Drosophila melanogaster: one gene and its partners. The protein of the gene in region 4 interacts with the protein of the main gene of each other region in a pairwise test. Each region holds a gene or a part of one and is shown on either strand. Other genes may lie near its edges. The genes, in order: CG10959, Secp43, ple and RpS30.

Region 1 (4,057 bases), on a different chromosome or scaffold from region 4:
GGAGCGACCGCATGTGTGCAGCGTTTGCGGTGCGACCTTCTCCCGACAGAAAGGCCTCTACCACCACAAGTTCCTGCACGCGGACACCAAGCAGTTCGTGTGCAAGCTGTGCGGGAATGCCTATGCCCAGGCCGCCGGTCTCGCTGGACATATGCGCAAGCACCGGAACGACGAGCTCAACGGATAGGATCCGGATCACCGAGGTCGTAGTCTAAGTTGTACGTTTTGTATCTTCCAATTCCGACGTTTAAGTTCAGGAACTCAGGCATAGGCTATATATAGGATTACCATAGAAATCAATGGTTTTTTGCATTGCTCCGGCATGGAGCGGGTATCATGTGACTCTTCGGTCCTCGTTTCACGGGTTTCCATCGAATTTATTTGACACGCACTGTAAATAATATCCCTAGTTTTAGATAAACTGAAAGTTTGTTAATCTGTTTCGAGTGAACTTAGTTTGAGGCAAATTTAATTGGCTCGATTGTAAGTACTAAGACTAAACTACATTTCCATGAATTTTCTAAACTACCAACTCAAATAATAACTAAACTTTGTTAAGGTTTAAACTATACATTAAGCACACAATGCTTCCAAGAACCAAATCGAACGCCGTAATCTCGGCAACCGGATGTGGCTAGTATTCGAATGGTTAACTTTTTTGTATTGATAAATATACATAACATGAATTTGATTCGCAAAAGAGAGCCCGCGTTTAAAATTAGCCAAGCGATTTGGTACCTTTGACAGCAATTAATCGGTCGACTGCTGCTAAAGCGGCCAAATGCCAAGATGGTATTGGATGGGGTGCGTCTAACAATAGTGCCGACGATTAGATTTGGCACACGCGGACCGACCATGTCGGCGGAACGTCCAGCTGCCAGCTCCGATAATCGGCGACTTATGTGCGAGTTCTGCGGCTATCGGACGCGCATCTATTGGAATCTGCAGATCCATCGTCGGCGACACACCGGCGAAATGCCCTTCAGTTGCCAGCAATGCCAGGCGCGTTTCCCGGCCAGCTATCAGCTGAAAAGCCACTTGGAGCGGCACTTGGACGCCGGCGAGCGACGCCAGCGGCACATTTGCACCGACTGCAACGTGGGTTTCTCCAGTTCGCGGGCCCTGTACCATCACCGGACGCTCCACGAGGATGGGAAGCGCTTCAAGTGCTCCCAGTGCGACAAGTCGTTCGCTCAGGCGGCGGGCTACGCCCAACACAAGCGGATTCACCGCCAGAGGAACCAGCGAGCCACCGAAACCACGGATCTGAAGGATCTGCAGATCAAAAGAGTGGTTTCAAGTGTTTTTCATCGGCGCGAGTTTAACACTGCATAAAATTCAGTGGAGTAATTAACATTTTATTTTTGTGTCATATTCAAATTTAAAAAAACCGGGTAACCGATTCGTTATTTCAACTGAAGTGCCTTATAAATAAAACAGGCAGTATCACTTTCTAAGAGTCTGGTAACAAATTGGTAACACTTGAGAGGAGCATATTGCTTAGCTATTTAATATACATAGATCAAATATAATTAATTTTGAACTTAAAATTTATTTTGTAGTTTATTCGGTCAAACGGTTAGTTTGGTTTGAAACATAGCTGAATGGCTGTGAAATCAGTGCTGGTTTGAGTCTGCACTAAATGTCTATCGAAGTCGATCGAAATTTTGTTTACATATTTTATTTTAATTTTGGTAAATAATATTGCAACAATTTTAATGTAAATAAGAATCAGAAAATGTTGAGACACTGCCTCGCCAACGTCGACTACGTCCGCCTGCACGCCCAGCAGCAGTTGCGTCCCAAATGCGGCGAGATCTTCTACGAACCGGAGGCGAATAGATTCCAACTGGTCTGCCTGCTCTGCGACATGAAGCACTTTGGATTCGAGGACTTCGCCCGCCATATCCGTAATGTGCACTTCGACAAGCAGGGCCGACCGCTCACCAAGACGGTCACGGGACTGGGCAGACTAGCACGAGAGGAACAGGAGTTCCAAGGGGTCAGCGCAGAACCATTGGCTGTGGACAGCTTCAAGAAAGAGTACCTGCCCAACGAGGATGTTCTGTCGGAGGAGGAGGACGCGGAACAGGAGCTGGGACTGGAACAGGACGAGGGCAATCCACTACGCATCATGGTGCTCGGGGGTAAACAGTCCGTGGACGAGGAGACCATCGATACGATGTGGCAGCCGGATCATGACAGTTCCTCCGCATCCGTCAACGAGGGGTGCGCTCTGGAGGCTCTGTTGGGCGTGGAAAATCCGCAAGACTATCAACCGGATGAGGACGGGGAGGAGCACCAGTCTGTTTTTAAGGTAGAAAAACTGTAGTACGTGCACTTGAAGAAGGAAATCCAATATCTGAATATGTTTTTTCCCTGCAGAAGCAGCGCCAACCAAAGGACTACAACTGCCCACACTGCGACAGGAGGTACACGACGCAGAAATACCTAAACACCCACCTAAAGATGAGCCATCCGTTTCCGCAGGCCTTCAAGTGCGTCGACTGCAAAGCCACCTTCGATGTGGACCGAGCATTGGCCCAGCATCGTCGCAAGGAGCACACGGAGTTCGCCTGCCAGCTATGCGACAAGGTGTTCAAAAGCTCGCGATCCCTTCTTCGCCATGTGCAGGGTCACTCCGGCGCCAGGACATTCAAGTGTGAGCACGAGAACTGCGGCAAGTCGTTTGTCAACCAGCACAACCTCACCTCGCATCGGCGGGTCCACAGCGAGGAGCGGAACTACGTGTGCGAGCTGTGCGGCTATAGATCCCGCTACCGGGAGGCGTTGATCGTCCACCGGCGCACGCATACGGGCGAGAAACCCTTCCAGTGCCAGACCTGTGCCCGCCGCTTTGCCTCCAAGTCGCTGCTCAACGAGCACCAGGCCATGCATTCCACCGAGAAGCCCTACAAGTGCGACAAATGTGATTCGGCCTTCTCCCGCCCGAAGGCGCTCTATCACCACAAGCATCTGCATTTGGGCATCAAGAAGTTCAAGTGCAAGATCTGCGGTAATGCCTATGCCCAGGCGGCAGGTCTATCCGCTCATATGCGAGCGCACAAGCTCCAGGCGTCCGTAAATGCGACGGAGGGTGCCGAGGCGGAACCCATCGAGATGCTTTTCACCTACTGACCGAACTGAGTGGAAACCTCCTGTCGCCTTAAGCTCTATTTCCATATAACTCAAGATATTCAAGATACACCACAAACAATGTTCACTGTTCTAGATTTTATAGATAGCTTATCAATGTTTATGGACACCCGACTCTTTCGTTCCAACTTTTCACATATATATATATATCTGTAAATAGTATTAGACATTTTCCAATCTAAGGCCGCAAATGTTCTTTTTTAATTTAAGTGATGAAGCCTTCCATTTCTGTGTCTCAAAAATTAGTACCTACATATCAGTAGAAGTCGTGTGTAAGCTGTTATATCTGTTAGTTTAGCTAGTTTTAAGCCAAGACCTTGCTTCCGACTAGGACAAACCACGTATGTACAATAAATGTTCTGATACACGTTACTCCAACATGGACTTTCAAATGGGCGCACAAAGAAGCCAGTTTGTCTATAGCTCAACATTTATTTCGAACAGGAACTTATAACTAGTCGCATATTGGTTACACTTGGATGCATATACATGTATATATTTAGATTCAATTTGGTACAGCAGCTGGTAGTAAGCATAACACTGCGGTAACCAAGACATCCATGCTGGCAATCCCGACATGAGACATATGTACACACTTGGGGGATCACCGAATCCGTAACTTAACTATCCTAGAGATGCGATGCACAACACAAAAAAAAAAAAAAAAAACAAATCAGAAGAGAGGGAAAACAAAGCGAGACGGCATCTGTCCTGGACAAATGCATCCCCCAACAATAAGGTGCCACATGGCTTAGGCCCACACCCGTATGGTGTAGTCCCAACTGCCGGTGGATAGAGCGGTGCCATCGGGCGAGACCTGGACGCAGGACACCTTGTTCTCGTGCCCGTACAGCAGGCAGACCCTTTCCGATTTCAGCGTGTCCCACAAGTTGACGGTGTA
Region 2 (3,466 bases), on a different chromosome or scaffold from region 4:
AAGTGGCGCACGAGGCACTACTGGTGCTGCCGGGGAGGAAGCTGCGCAGTGGTCCACTCCATTGATCCCGTTCTCCAGTGGTGACGGTTCCGTTTCCGCCAACAGCTGCCGGAGCTGCAGTGTTGAATCCTCGCTCTCCGCATCCGAATCCGATTCAGAATCGGAGCCACCACTGGCGTCGCTGCTGCTACCGTCGCCATCGCTCTCGTCCTTCGATCCGTCCGAGCAGTTGTCGATGTCCGGCAGGAAGTCGCTATCCGAGGAACTCTCGCCCAAGTCAAAATCGAGCAGGGCCTGCGTAGTAATCTTCGGCTGCCGCGCTCGCTTCATGATTCAACGCTTATTTAGTCCGCAATTGTCTGCACAATCTCCGAAAGTCTCGGGCCAAGGCAGAAACTATCGACAGTCGATAGGCCGACATGGCGATGACACGGACAGAATAGTATTCCGTCTGTATATCGATAAAATACATCTGTTGTAAGGATATTAGGGATATTTTGTAAAAATGTATCCTTTATTTTGAATCCTTTGTTAAGAAATGTAGATTCAGGAGCATAAAAGTTTATAGCAGGCTCAAAAACAATAATACGCTACAAGTCAGGCTTTTATATTTTTTGCTTATATCTAAGCTGTAATTATAGTAAGCTATAAATATAGTAGATAAGTATCCTAAAAGACTTCCAGCTGCTCAATGGGCAGCCACTTAGAGCTCTCCAGAGCATCGTACAGACGGCGGTCGGCATCAATGGCCTCTCGGTTCAGTTTGTCCACATCCAGGACGAACTTGTGCTCCACCAGTCCGTTCTCATCCTCAGCTCCATTGGCGGCGGAAGCGGTCTGCTGCTGCTGCTGCTGCTCGTACTGGGCGCTGCGTTGTGCGCTCCAGGCCTCGGCGTGCTGGGCCAGAGTCTGCGGATTAGAGTGCGACTGCGACATGGCCTGCTGGTAGTATGCAGCCGCATCTGTGATCGAAGCACCGGCCTGCTCGTAGTAACCTTGCCAGGCCTGGTATCCCTGCCAATAGGTGCTGGTGGGGTCGTAGTACTGCGAGTAGTCGGTGCCACCTGCTGCAGTCATACCGCTTCCATATCCATAGTTTGTGTTGCCTTCGCCCACAGCACCACCCAACTCGGATTTGGGTTTGGGCACGGCATTGCAAATCTTTATGGGCTTGGTACCCAATCCGATGTACCCGTTCATGTCGTACAGCGCTGATTTCTGCTCATCCTCGATGCCAAATCGCACAAAGCCGTAACCCTTGGAAAACCCCAGGCTGTCCAAGATCACCTTGGCGGTTTTGATCGATGTGAACTTGCTGGAGAACACCTTGTACAGCTGATAGTCGTCCACGTCCGAGCTGAGGTCGCCCACCCAGACGCTAAATTCGCGTTCATTCCCGGGCAGCTTGTACGAGTTGCTGGCCGAGTTAAGACGGAATCGCACAATGGGATTGGTGCCCGGAATGGGCTTACCGTTTAGCTTGTGCATCGCGTCCAGCGCATGGTCATCGGATATGAAGTTGACGAAGCAGTAGCCGGCCGGTTCGCCCGTGTACTTGTTGCGCATCAGGCGCACCGTGGTGGGATCTTCGCCCATCTTCCGGAAAGCGGCGATTATGAAGTTCTCCGTCATGTAGGACTCCAGCTGAAATGGCCATGCGGGCTTAAAGGGTCATGTGTCTGGGGTAATGCACGTTGCTACTTACGCTTCCCATCCACAGTTGACAATGCACGGACGCCATAATTGTTCAAATACGTGTTCAATTGAATATTTTCCAGAGACAAATGATGTTTACCAAAACAAATGAGTGACTGGCCGTCAAGCATTTATCGGTATTTATCGATGTGGGCCAATCAAATGCTGACCTGGTGTCAGCCAAGACAATTGCCTTGGTTCTTGTCTTTGGAATGGATATTCAAACGATGCAACTAATGGTTCGCGTCTCTGGTGAGTTAGACGTTATTTTAGTTTGAGCCAAAAAGTAATTTGTTTTTAAAAAACAATAATACCAATATGTAATCCAAGACAGTTTGACAACCCTGCGTAGTACCGACATTTAAATAGACTTACTTCCTGAACATTTCAAAATCGCAAAAGTGGTGCCAAAATGGGTATTACTCTGTTCCGATTGGCCAGTTTTACTCCAAAACTGAAGGAGCTGCGAATCATTCTGGATCCCAAAGGAGACACTTCCAAGGGAGTCAGGTGAAATTGTCATTTTCCGCTTTTAAATTATATAATTTGCTAAAGCAGCGTTCCTTTACAGGGAATACGTGGAAAGGTTCTATCCAAACCTGAAGAAGAGCAATCCCGACCTGCCGATCCTCGTGCGCGAGTGCTCTGGCGTCCAGCCCCGCCTCTACGCCCGCTATGGTGAGTAGATTAGCATAATGTGCGCTGCTAGCTTCCCCCACATCGATTCCCATGTCCGCAGGCAACGGCAAGGAAGTGTCCCTCTCCCTGGCCAACCACGCTGCTCCTGACATACACAAAAACCTGGAAGCGGTTGGCAAATAGAACTTACGCTGGAAAACTATGTAGATTAGGCGCAAAATAAAGGCAAAGCCAGATGCTTTATGCACACATACGTATACGTGTATATGGGATAACATTTACACTTAAATTCATTTTCTTGGTAGGTACATCGATTTCCAATTACAGCAATAGCATCTTTTAGCTACAAAAAGTACGTCAGCCATTAAGTTCAATCCGTGAAGGCGGGCAGCCCGAACTGCTCCGGCTTGAAGTCCGCCAACGAGGCCAGCACTTGTGTGGCGTGCGAGGTCTTTTCCTGGGACAGTCGTGGGTCCGGCACCATCACCACCTGCATTCCGGCGCTGTTGGCAGCCGTCACGCCGTTCGGCGAGTCCTCGAACACCAGGCAGTCGGACGGTTTGGGCGGCACACCGAATCTGCCGGCGGCCACTAGGAAAATGTCGGGCGCAGGCTTGCCGTTGACCACCTCCTTGTCCGACGAACCGCACACCTTGTGGTTAAACAGGGAGAACAGCTCCCGATGTTGGGCCGTCTTCAGCTCGACCATGTCGGCGCCGGAGCTGGTGGCCAAGCAAAAGGGTACCTTGTTGGCGTGCAGGTGACGCAGCAGGCGCTCAGCACCTTGAACGGGGAAGGAAGCACACGATTAACAAACGGCTTTAATCACAGTAGGATAGTAATTGAAGCAGAAGTATTTATAGGGAGAAATGCCGATTAGTTTTCTGGTCGTGGTGCTAACCTTCCAGCAGGGGTACGTTGTGGAATCGCTCGTGGCACATTTGCGAGTACCGCTTGAGATAGTCTCCGGTTGTGATGGGCAGCTGGCACTCGGTGATGGCTATCTCTGCCGAGCGCTGGTCCGTGGTGCCCATTACCCGGAAACGCACTTCCTCCGGATACGGGCGGCCAAAGGAGGCGGCTATTTGCCGGGTGACCTCCTCGTATATCCTCTCCGTGTCTGAAACGTGAC
Region 3 (7,717 bases), on a different chromosome or scaffold from region 4:
CAGTAAGTGCTATTTATTAATTATTACCCTCGATATTCTAAGTAAAAAGCTTTTCGATGTTGTCAAATGTATTTCCTAGCTCCCACAAACTTATTAACTCACCAATCCCACTCTATCGATCCAATTTGTATAATGGATCTATCAGATCGATAATTATGTTTTTGCTACTCCAGATGCCTTAATAACTTAATGCGGATCGAAGCAAATAGACGTATATGTGATGTGTTAGCTCATTATCGGGCTCGTTAGCTCAATCAAACGATTCGATCTACTAATTTGAACGGTCCGCATTAACATCGGCATTAGTTAGTTAGTTAGTTGCTAGATGCAGGCTGCAAGGATGACCGGATTGTTGGCAAGTACAAGTGCACATATGTAGATCAATGGCAAATTTGCTTCGATCTCGACATCGCCGCTAACTGAATTTGGTTAAAAGCTAACACGATTGAAAATAATGCTGCCACTGCCACTGCCACTGAAAATGTCATTCGAATTGGCGGCCCGAGTCCAATTTGAGAAGCGGCGGCAGCCTTGCCAACGTTATCAGCTTACAGGACAGGAATATATATATAATTATTTATATAGATTGCTATATGGTCGGTCTCGTAATCCGTCAGCTGCCATATGCAAATCCCAATCGCCAGATGTTTTGACGGGGCTTTCAATTATGCCATAGATATTGTAATGTGCCTGTACTTATCGCCCGGGCTTAGTTTAATGTGCTACATTTACGCATGCAAATTAGTTGTTAAATGTGCTTTTAAAATTTAATCGATATGGCTGGGTGCCACCTACTTACATCTCGGGCACGCACGCAGCCATGTGATCCGTACTTCCTGTTTACCATTACTTTGTTTTCCAGCTCACTTTCACTTGGTCCCTATACGATCCGCTTCAGCATCCGCTCTAGTTCTGACGCGATTCGATTGAGTCATTCAGGATCTAATGCGAATTGCTGGGTTCTAAAACTGAACGAGATCTTCGACTGTTGTTACACCTAGAAAAATGGAACGTATCATAAACGTAAGGTGCTTTTATTGTCTAAAACATTCTTAATAATTTTAACCTACTTCTTTAAAATAATTCTAGTGGTTAAAAACATTTCCCTAAAACAACTTACAGAGTAAGAATGTCATATATTTTCATTATTTTGCTCTGTGCACACACGGCGTATGCTTAACATTTGGCATGGACTAGCTTCGCTTTGTTTGGATTTGTTTTGGTTTTTTCTGTATGACCTGTTGAGGCTTTTCAAATGACTCCCGTTCGACTGACTGAATACTTTTGGGGTATTCTACCACCATTCCGATTGACGCGCACGCGCTAATGGTTAACCCCGCTTTTTAGCCAAGCTACAAGAGCAACAAAAACATGGCCAATGCGACGTTCTAGCCTGTTGCCGCACTTGAACTTGGTCGACCAAGTTGAGTCGAGTCAGGCCCCGCGATTCTCGACCCACTCAGCTGGCTGGCTAGCTGGTTAGCTGGCTGGTGAGAGGAAACCCCACGGCATCGGCATCTTGGCTTTAACCCAGCTACAGCTGGGCAACTACGTCACAGTCGCGTCATGCGAAAACCAGTCATCGTCGTTTGGTGAAGCAAACAATCGTCGGCAATCGGCCGAAACGTTCGTTAACTTGGCCGTCGGAATCGGAATCTGGGGGTATTTAAGCGGCGGCAACTCGACATGAAGCATGCATTGATTCGCTATCATTCGCCCTAAAGACTTGTGCCCAGCCTCAAGTAGTTTGCTGACTCTGTTTGTTGTAATACAATTTAGCTGACAAGGATAATACACATCACCACATCAGTTTCGAGTTCGCGAAAGGATCCAGCTAAAGTTCAACCGATCAACCATCTATATATCCCGCCGTGAATTCGAGAGTCGAGAGTTCTTGTCCAGCTCAATTCTAGACGCAAACAGTTCAGTACCAGGAGCGATTTTCTTGAAAAACAAAACCACCCAGCCAGATCGCCAATAAGCAGTGAAAGTGTCAACACATTTCGAGTGCTTATTGCAAATCAAACAAGAAAAGCGTAACCAAGCACATAAGCAAATAGTATTCTAAGTGTTTTTGCCAACACTTTGCGTAAATTTTTGTTGTTCACCCCAAACGAAAACAACCCAAACACACAAAAAAAAATGATGGCCGTTGCAGCAGCCCAAAAGAACCGCGAGATGTTCGCCATCAAGAAATCCTACAGTATTGAGGTGAGTCGAAAATCCAGCAAAACATACAATTTCCAAATCGAATTGTAAAAAAAAAGAAGCAAATGAGTGACTAGATTTGGTCTACGTGACTATCTAAAGGTTTTGTGTTTTCAAAAAAAAACCAGTTAACCGGCCAGTAGTCGAGCCCATTTTTGTGATCCCGCATTTCTTTTTCGCCAATTCAATTTGACCAAACTCAATCCTCGGTTGGCCATTAAGTCACACCTCTAAGAACAGGCGGCCCAAATCGAAAGGCCCAAATCGCCAACGGACACAACGGGTTGTGTGTTAAGTTATTATTTAACAAATAAGTGAAAGTGGCTGCCTTTGGGCCCCATGCACTTAGCCTGGCCGAAACAGTCGCGCCTCATTGTTGTTGACTCGTCTCTGTTTATGTTTATGCTGCGTCCGAGCAAAACAAAAAATATGAAATCAATATAAATGATTCAATGAGTTGGTCATCTTTCATCAGCCAAAGCGGTGGCCCAAAAAAAAAAACTGAAGAAAACAAACAAACAAAAAAAAAAAAAAACGAGCTGACAGTGAAAACTGCAAGTGATGGAAACCTTTTTCCCCCCATCAAGAAAAAGAAAGAAAAAAAACCTTTAACGATCGCCAGTTGCATTTTTTTCCCGCCAGAATCGCATGGGGATTTTCGATTTCTCAGTCACATATCATTTATCTTCGCACCTGCCCGCTTCGAAGCGGCGACATCGCATTAAATTACCATTCGTGGCTTTGAATCACAATCAATACAGTTCCATGAATAGCCAGCTTTATTCAAAGAAAAAGATCTGAAGACGGCGCTTTCACACACCATTTTATATAATATTTTCAAAATTGCGCAATACTCTGCTCAAAGTCACCACCCAAGCGTGGAGCCGAAGAAAGCCACCCTGGCTTGAAGGTCAAGGCAATCGTCTAATTTCCGCTCCACATCCTGCCAGTGTCACTAACACGGACTTCAATCTTTTCGCTTTCGTTTCCAGAATGGCTATCCATCCCGCCGTCGCAGCCTGGTGGATGATGCCCGTTTCGAGACCCTGGTGGTCAAGCAGACCAAACAAACCGTCCTCGAGGAGGCCCGCAGCAAGGCAAATGGTAAGTGGATAGGGTCCAACAAGTGGGTCACTAAAATAGCTCCAAAGAGGGTTTCTATTTGGGATCAAAAGGGAAATTTTGCAGCTAGGGCTTTACTTGTTGATTAAAAACTTAAAAAGTTGCAATTTTTATTTCATTTTATTCGTTTTGACATAGATTTGCGTTTTTTTCTTATTCATTTTAACCCTTTATTTATTATTTGCCTTCGTTTTTATTTTTATGATTTTAAAGACGATTCCCTGGAAGATTGCATTGTGCAGGCTCAGGAGCACATTCCCTCCGAGCAAGATGTGGAGCTCCAGGACGAGCATGCCAATCTGGAGAACCTGCCCTTGGAGGAATATGTTCCAGGTTAATATCCATTTCCATTTCAATTCCCATGCCAGTTACTCCTCTTTCTGAGCCTATTATCTTTGATTTGATTTTGATTATGATTTTCATGGGCTTTATTATTATTTTTATTTCATTCGCTTTTAGTTGAGGAGGATGTTGAGTTTGAGAGCGTTGAACAGGAGCAGTCGGAGTCGCAGTCGCAGGAGCCAGAAGGCAACCAACAGCCGACCAAGAACGGTGAGCAGGGGGTTCTAGAATCCAGCAGCCAACCATAAGTAGTACTTAACTTCTGAGAGGGGCTTTTGAAAAGCGTGCGACATTGATTTAAGTGCTTAATATGATAAAGTGCCAGGGCAGAGGAAAAGCACTCAGCCACACGGACAATTGTGAGTGGGCGCGCTCGCTCGCTCTCTCTCTCTCTCTCTCTCTCTCTGTGGAAATGTCGCATTTCCCTTTTTCATTTGTTACGCTCGACTTAATACAAGTACGAAATGCGTTTGCCTGGCAACCGTCTCACTGCCACTGCCACGTAGCTCGCTTATCGTTTACGTGACCCTAAGCCTTGGAAGATTGCATCCTTAACCATCACATTATCCCCGCTTTTTTTTGGCCCTTTTGCAGATTACGGTCTCACCGAGGACGAGATTTTGTTGGCCAATGCCGCCTCCGAATCCTCGGATGCCGAGGCTGCCATGCAGAGTGCCGCTTTGGTGGTCCGCCTCAAGGAGGGCATCTCCTCCTTGGGTCGCATCCTCAAGGCCATCGAAACCTTCCACGGCACCGTCCAGCATGTGGAGTCCCGTCAGTCGCGCGTGGAGGGCGTGGACCACGATGTCCTCATCAAGTTGGACATGACCCGTGGCAATCTGCTGCAGCTGATCCGCTCCCTCAGGCAGTCGGGCTCCTTCAGCAGCATGAATCTGATGGCCGACAATAACTTGAATGTCAAGGCTCCGTGGTTCCCCAAGCACGCCTCCGAATTGGATAACTGCAACCATCTGATGACCAAGTACGAGCCCGATTTGGACATGAACCACCCCGGATTCGCCGACAAGGTATACCGCCAGCGTCGCAAGGAAATTGCCGAGATCGCATTCGCCTACAAGTACGGAGACCCGATCCCATTCATCGACTACTCCGATGTGGAGGTCAAGACCTGGCGCTCGGTGTTCAAGACCGTTCAGGATCTGGCTCCCAAGCACGCCTGTGCCGAGTACCGGGCCGCCTTCCAGAAGCTCCAGGATGAGCAGATCTTCGTGGAGACCCGTCTGCCCCAGTTGCAGGAGATGTCCGACTTTCTGCGCAAGAACACCGGATTCTCTCTCCGTCCTGCCGCCGGTCTTTTGACTGCCCGGGACTTCCTTGCCTCCTTGGCCTTCCGCATCTTCCAGAGCACCCAGTATGTGCGCCACGTTAACTCACCATACCACACCCCCGAGCCGTAAGTATCTATCATCATATTTTACTAGGGGGTTAAAATCACTTCAAAAAGGGGAGAAAAAGGCTCTTTGTCCTAGCCTAATTGCATTTGCCTGCCTGCCTGCCGCCTGCCTCTGTGTGTGTGTGGGTGGTTGGGTTTCCTTTTCCGCTTTTCCCAAGCAACTTTTGTCGCCTGGAACACAGGCAAATTGGCTACAGGAACTGCGGCAGGCTGCCCAGCTCATTTAACCAGACTAATTGCCTTATGCCAGCACATTTTCCACACTTTTAACAAGCATTATTCTATGCCATTACAGCGACTCCATTCACGAGCTGCTGGGTCACATGCCCCTGCTGGCCGATCCCAGCTTCGCCCAGTTCTCGCAGGAGATTGGACTGGCCTCGCTGGGTGCCTCCGACGAAGAAATCGAGAAGCTGTCCACGGTGAGTTGATTTTCTAATTGAGTTGCAATGTAACGACCTTAGACTCAAGTGCAGCTATGACGCAGCTAGTTTTTTTTCGCAACCAAGATCATTGTTTAGTCACTGTCAAAGTCGAAGAGGAAAAGTGAACTTCAATGCCAGAATAATTTTTTTCTTTTTATTCATATAGTTTACAGATACAATTTAATGCATTTCAAAACACTTAATTGTGATTTTAAATAAGTTTTTAAGTTCAGAAAACCTTGATCTTATAAGTCATACAACTTCCTGCATTATCTGCCTTTGCTTTTATTTTCCTTCCTATTTACTCATTGGTTCCTTACCATTTCATTTCTACAGGTATACTGGTTCACTGTTGAGTTCGGTCTCTGCAAGGAACATGGTCAGATCAAGGCCTACGGTGCTGGACTCCTGAGCTCCTACGGTGAGCTGCTCCATGCCATCAGCGACAAGTGCGAGCACCGCGCCTTCGAGCCCGCATCCACCGCCGTGCAGCCCTACCAGGATCAGGAGTACCAGCCCATCTACTATGTGGCCGAGAGCTTCGAGGATGCCAAGGACAAGTTCCGTCGCTGGGTGAGCACCATGTCGCGTCCATTCGAGGTGCGTTTCAACCCGCACACCGAGCGCGTCGAGGTGCTGGACTCCGTCGACAAGCTGGAGACTCTGGTGCACCAGATGAACACGGAGATTTTGCATCTGACCAACGCCATCTCCAAGTTGCGACGCCCGTTCTAAGTGGATGGGGGGGAGATATATGTATGATATATAGAAGCACCCAAAAACATCGCCCAAAAAAACACCAGCCACCCCCACCACCCAAACATACACATACAGGTGCAACGGTCTCATTTATACAAATTAATTTTAAATTGACATACCGCACAATCCCTCGTACACGTAATCCTTAAACCAAAATTAAGGCATCGCGCATTATTTTTTATTTTTTGTTTATTGTTTTTTGTTTAATTTTTATTTAATTGTCATCGAAAAGTTGTAATTGTCGAATCGCGCACATGGTAAAAAACACAAAAATCAAGCATATTTATTTGTTGATCACCCGATACACCACCCAACCTGCATATTTATCACCGCAACTATTATTGGACCAAAAAATCTTTAGACGTTTAAGTGATGTGAAAACAAAGCCAAGCCAAGCCAAGCAAAGCAAAGCGAATTAAGTGAAGTGAAAAGCTGGGAAAGCAAAGTTCAGATACATCCGCACTTAGTAGGCAAAGTACCACACAAAAACCGATTGTATACTCAGACAAAAATTGTTTTTGTATTATTATTATCTTCATTTTGCCTCTCACAATATTTACCTAGACTATATAGACACGCGATATAGTATTCCCGGTATAGGAAGCTTCATTTAGAGAGAGTATTTCTAAACAAAAATGATATAGATACAACAATCGAGCAAGGAACAAATGGAAAACAAACAAAAAAAAAAACGGAAAAGATAAAAAATGAAATGGAAAACAAAACAGAATTTTCTTACATTGTACAATAACTGTAAACGACAATATTACTATTGTGTACTATTATTATTATTATCTATTATTATACTTATGACTATTACGTATTGTATTGTAGGTATGTAGAGTTTAAACATTATTATTTTATTTAAGTTTTGTGTATTAATAAAATTAAAAATGCAATTGAAAAATAATTACTCTTTGGTTTTTTCATTTGATTATCTTCTTTGGCAATTCGAAACTCTAAAGTCTGAATCTGTTTAGGGAACATTTTATGACATCAAAATGGAATATTTATTTAAAATTAATGAGTAGAATCGAGGAATATGATAAATATATTTATGGGTGAGAAGAAGTGAATCTCATGTGAACTAAAATCGAGCTATGTAGAAAATATTTCACAAATTTGATGAAATTATATAAAATAACGAAAAACCTTGGACCAATACATATGTATTATTATAAAGTAATTAAAATCAAAATATTTCAAAGTAAACAAAGTAAAACATTGGGATCAAGAATATTACATATTTATAGTTAACGTAGCATGGAATTTTATTGTTATTGTTCGATGTATTGTAGTTGCAATTGGATCGAAAGCCAACCAAGTGTTAACATTTCTGCAAGCAATTAGCCAAACTAATTACTAATTATATTCGCACATAAATCTATATATATAATCAACTTAAAGCGCAGTTGGTCCCCAAGCCAGGCTTCGTTGGTTCTGAAAA
Region 4 (3,213 bases):
TTTAATATTTCAATGCGGAAACTGATTGACTTCACTGTTTTTTTTCTCATGCCAACATCACATAATGGGATCAAAAATGCCGACCCCACATATATGATAATACATGCATATGTATGTGTTGCTTAAAATGAAACGCATATGGGAAAATACGCACGAAAAGGTGAATGAAAATGTGGAAATTCGCGTGCCGGAAAAACAGCAAATGGCGAAATAAAGACGAGGGGCAGGCTAAGCCGATTTGGCAATTGTTGCCGTTGTTTTTATGGTCAAGAGTAATTTCTTTTTCCGCTGCCTTTGTGTGCAAACATTGTAAAATATCAGTTTACAAAGCGGCAGTTCCTCCAAACAGTGATTTTGGGGGAAATGATTTCGGATGCGTTTCCCTAGTCCATTTTCAGCCACAAGGTCAGACAAATGAGTTTACGCAAATCCAGGAGCTGTCTGCCCCTAATCCCGAGTAAATCCGATCATGGGCGTAGGGGAATGCCTGGGATATCTATCCAAATCGAAGTGGACAACATAAAGAGGGAAATGCACGCGACACTTTGCTATCTTAAATGAGCATCGAAAGGTGGTCGTTGTCGAAGGGTTGAGAGTAATATTAAATTTCGTATCTGGTATCGAAGGATCATTAATACATGCAACCCTAAATTATATATATACCTTTAATAGTGTATAGCCAAGGTCTTCTTTTCAAGACTCCGGATTTCCATCCAGTGCCCATCCACATCCTCGGAGGATCGTGACCAATCTAAGCCGCACTCATTAGACGTAGATAATTCGTGCAAATTTGTCAAATCGGCTTATGATTTGCATTCTATGAGCGAATGTTTATGTTACTAATCTAGTCCTGTTTGACAAACAATGCGGCAATATTTATTCAAATGGCGTAGAATAACACACAGCCCACAGTCCTCCAGGATTCCCTCTTCCGTCCACCCTGCGGATCAAACAAAGGACAAGCGCAGGCGCATGCTTATGGCCCATTTTCCGTAAATGGTTCATTTGTACTCGTAAGACGAGGCCCACAAAAACTTGGGAAAACGCTGAAGATGGTTGCGGGCGGACTAGTTTTTGGGCTCAACGTAATACCCATTTTGCGTAGATTGCGGTAATCGGGGTGTGCTGGCTTAGCGAGGCGTCAGCCAGACTGTCCTTTTGCGATCCTTTGAGGGAAAGGAGACAATGGCATGGCCAATGACCATAGCCCAAGCTTTATTCGTGTAATATTGCAGAAATATTATAAGATTTTCGGTCTACGAGTAATGATATAATACAAATTTAATTATTTTCAGGCTTTAAAAAGTAACTCTCATAACTCTTTTAATTAGCAGGAGGATTTAAAAAGTGATTGCCTAATAATCAAATGGAAACTAACCTCTCATATATGCCAAGTTATGAAACTTATCAGTGTACAGTTTTGATTGTTTACGGGTAAAGTTAGCACTTCTTGAAATATTATTATTTTTTAAATAAGTATTTAAATTTACGAACGCAGTATATTCCCTAAACTAATTAAAGTTATTATTTGCTTTGGGTTATCTTTGAAAATCATAAATTTAAAGAAAAACATTAATAATAGTGTTATCTGTCTGAAGTAAAGTATATTAAATATTATTAATACATAAGTACATCGATTTTTAAAGCTAACAAAGCCGTTATAAAATACTAAAGTTCGAGAATATACCAAACCCTTTGAACAGAATTCTGACTGGTTACCCTTTAAGTTATCGATAGAAGCAATCGATTGACCAGCCTAGCTACCCGTCCCTCAATATTATTGCCAGACATGCAAATGCAATTCACTAACGCCTGACACGATAGTTGCACAACAAAAATCGATAGGCCCATCGATAATTCTGCGCCATCTTTCTTTTTCGGGATCCGCACACCAAGTTAAGAGGTAATCGAGTGATTTTTGTCGAAATATAATAGAAAATAGCCCAGTTAAACCCAAAATACCTGTGAAATGTGTGTGCGAGCGATTGTCAAGTGTGTTGGACGCCAAATGCCAACTGCAAAACGACCGAAAAAGGGAAAAATTGACTGAAACTCGGCACACGTGTTTCGCCCTACAAGTCAATATGAATATCTTCACTAATAAATGCATGCGGCATGGTTACTTTGCAGAGCGAATCATCATGCAGCTGTTCGTCCGTGGACTAGAGACCATCGAGGCCCTGGAGGTTTCCCAGGATGCCACCATTGCCGGAGTCAAGGTGAGTCCCCCCAATGACTGATATACAAATAACATAACCTAATTGTGTGTTCCCCATCCTCGTCCATTGTGGCCATCGCGATCGTAGAACCAACTGGCCCAGATCCATGGATTCAACGCCGAGGAATTCAGCCTCGATTGCGAGGGCATCACTCTGGCCAACGAGACTCCCGTGACCGCCCTGAGCTCCTTTGAGCTGGACCTCAACATTCCCATGCTGGGAGGTAAGGTGCACGGTTCTCTGGCCCGTGCCGGCAAGGTCAAGGGACAGACGCCCAAGGTGGAGAAGCAGGAGAAGAAGAAGAAGAAGACCGGACGCGCCAAGCGCAGGATCCAGTACAACCGCCGGTTCGTCAACTTTGTGCAGGGCTTCGGCCGTCGTCGCGGCCCCAACGCCAACTCCACATAGAAGGATTTTGGATGAACAAGTGTCTACCTTTTACTCCAGATTGATATGATTGTTCATAAAGTAATTTCAAACCTTTAAACAAACGGTGTTGCGCATTTCAAATTGTTAAATCACGGCAAGCAATTGTTGGAGGAATCTCGTACCTTGATTATTTATAATTAACTATTAGAAATTTATAGATGTGCGGTAGTGCGCGGAGTAGTAATCAAGTGTAACGTTAATTATTTAAAGTGAAGCCTTAAAATGCCACACATTACGCAGCTGGTGCAATAGTTTTGCTAAAGTTACCTGCTTAAATTCGACCACCGCATATGGCGGGAAACCAGTTTACTAGTAGGGTAAATGAAATGGAGCTCTCAATTGATATATTTATATTTGATAGCTTATTTAAATGTTTATATCTATATACGATTTTCATCAGCGTTGTACATGCCAGTTACTGCTCATTCATTACACTATTCCATGGCAAGAGCTCTTAGGATTCCCCAGTGGTCAGTTGGTGAACTGACGCCGTTTTCGACTGGCCCGAAAGCGACGATACCAGAACTCGCCGCACACTATTAAAAGAGCCAACGTGAAGCCCAAG

The links.
Region 1: the proteins of RpS30 (region 4) and CG10959 interact in a two-hybrid assay, tested with the Drosophila melanogaster proteins (one large-scale study listed by BioGRID).
Region 2: the proteins of RpS30 (region 4) and Secp43 interact in a two-hybrid assay, tested with the Drosophila melanogaster proteins (one large-scale study listed by BioGRID).
Region 3: the proteins of RpS30 (region 4) and ple interact in a two-hybrid assay, tested with the Drosophila melanogaster proteins (one large-scale study listed by BioGRID).

What each region holds. Positions count from the first base shown.
Region 1 is NC_004354.4:8,147,160-8,151,216, forward strand, and holds CG10959 (uncharacterized protein), read left to right. Parts: upstream 1-1,623; 5' UTR 1,624-1,738; coding exon 1,739-2,317; intron 2,318-2,385; coding exon 2,386-3,138; 3' UTR 3,139-3,527; downstream 3,528-4,057. Other genes in the region: CG2129 (uncharacterized protein), read left to right, coding at 1-187; CG15336 (uncharacterized protein), read left to right, coding at 856-1,335; Gbeta5 (G protein beta subunit 5), read right to left, coding at 3,908-4,057.
Region 2 is NT_033779.5:4,452,622-4,456,087, forward strand, and holds Secp43 (tRNA selenocysteine associated protein), read right to left. Parts: upstream 1,833-3,466; 5' UTR 1,742-1,832; coding exon 1,706-1,741; intron 1,645-1,705; coding exon 670-1,644; 3' UTR 548-669; downstream 1-547. Other genes in the region: CG15439 (uncharacterized protein), read right to left, coding at 1-330; ND-B8 (NADH dehydrogenase (ubiquinone) B8 subunit), read left to right, coding at 2,108-2,205, 2,267-2,373, 2,435-2,517; Gs1l (GS1-like), read right to left, coding at 2,705-3,117.
Region 3 is NT_037436.4:6,713,499-6,721,215, reverse strand, and holds the start of ple (pale), read left to right. Parts: upstream 1-1,690; 5' UTR 1,691-2,142; coding exon 2,143-2,211; intron 2,212-3,200; coding exon 3,201-3,312; intron 3,313-3,543; coding exon 3,544-3,663; intron 3,664-3,789; coding exon 3,790-3,882; intron 3,883-4,266; coding exon 4,267-5,086; intron 5,087-5,381; coding exon 5,382-5,508; intron 5,509-5,847; coding exon 5,848-6,246; 3' UTR 6,247-7,717. UniProt on the Drosophila melanogaster protein: Plays an important role in the physiology of adrenergic neurons.
Region 4 is NT_033777.3:20,848,725-20,851,937, forward strand, and holds RpS30 (ribosomal protein S30), read left to right. Parts: upstream 1-1,791; 5' UTR 1,792-1,903; intron 1,904-2,109; exon of another isoform or gene 2,110-2,130; 5' UTR 2,131-2,141; coding exon 2,142-2,219; intron 2,220-2,306; coding exon 2,307-2,627; 3' UTR 2,628-2,703; downstream 2,704-3,213.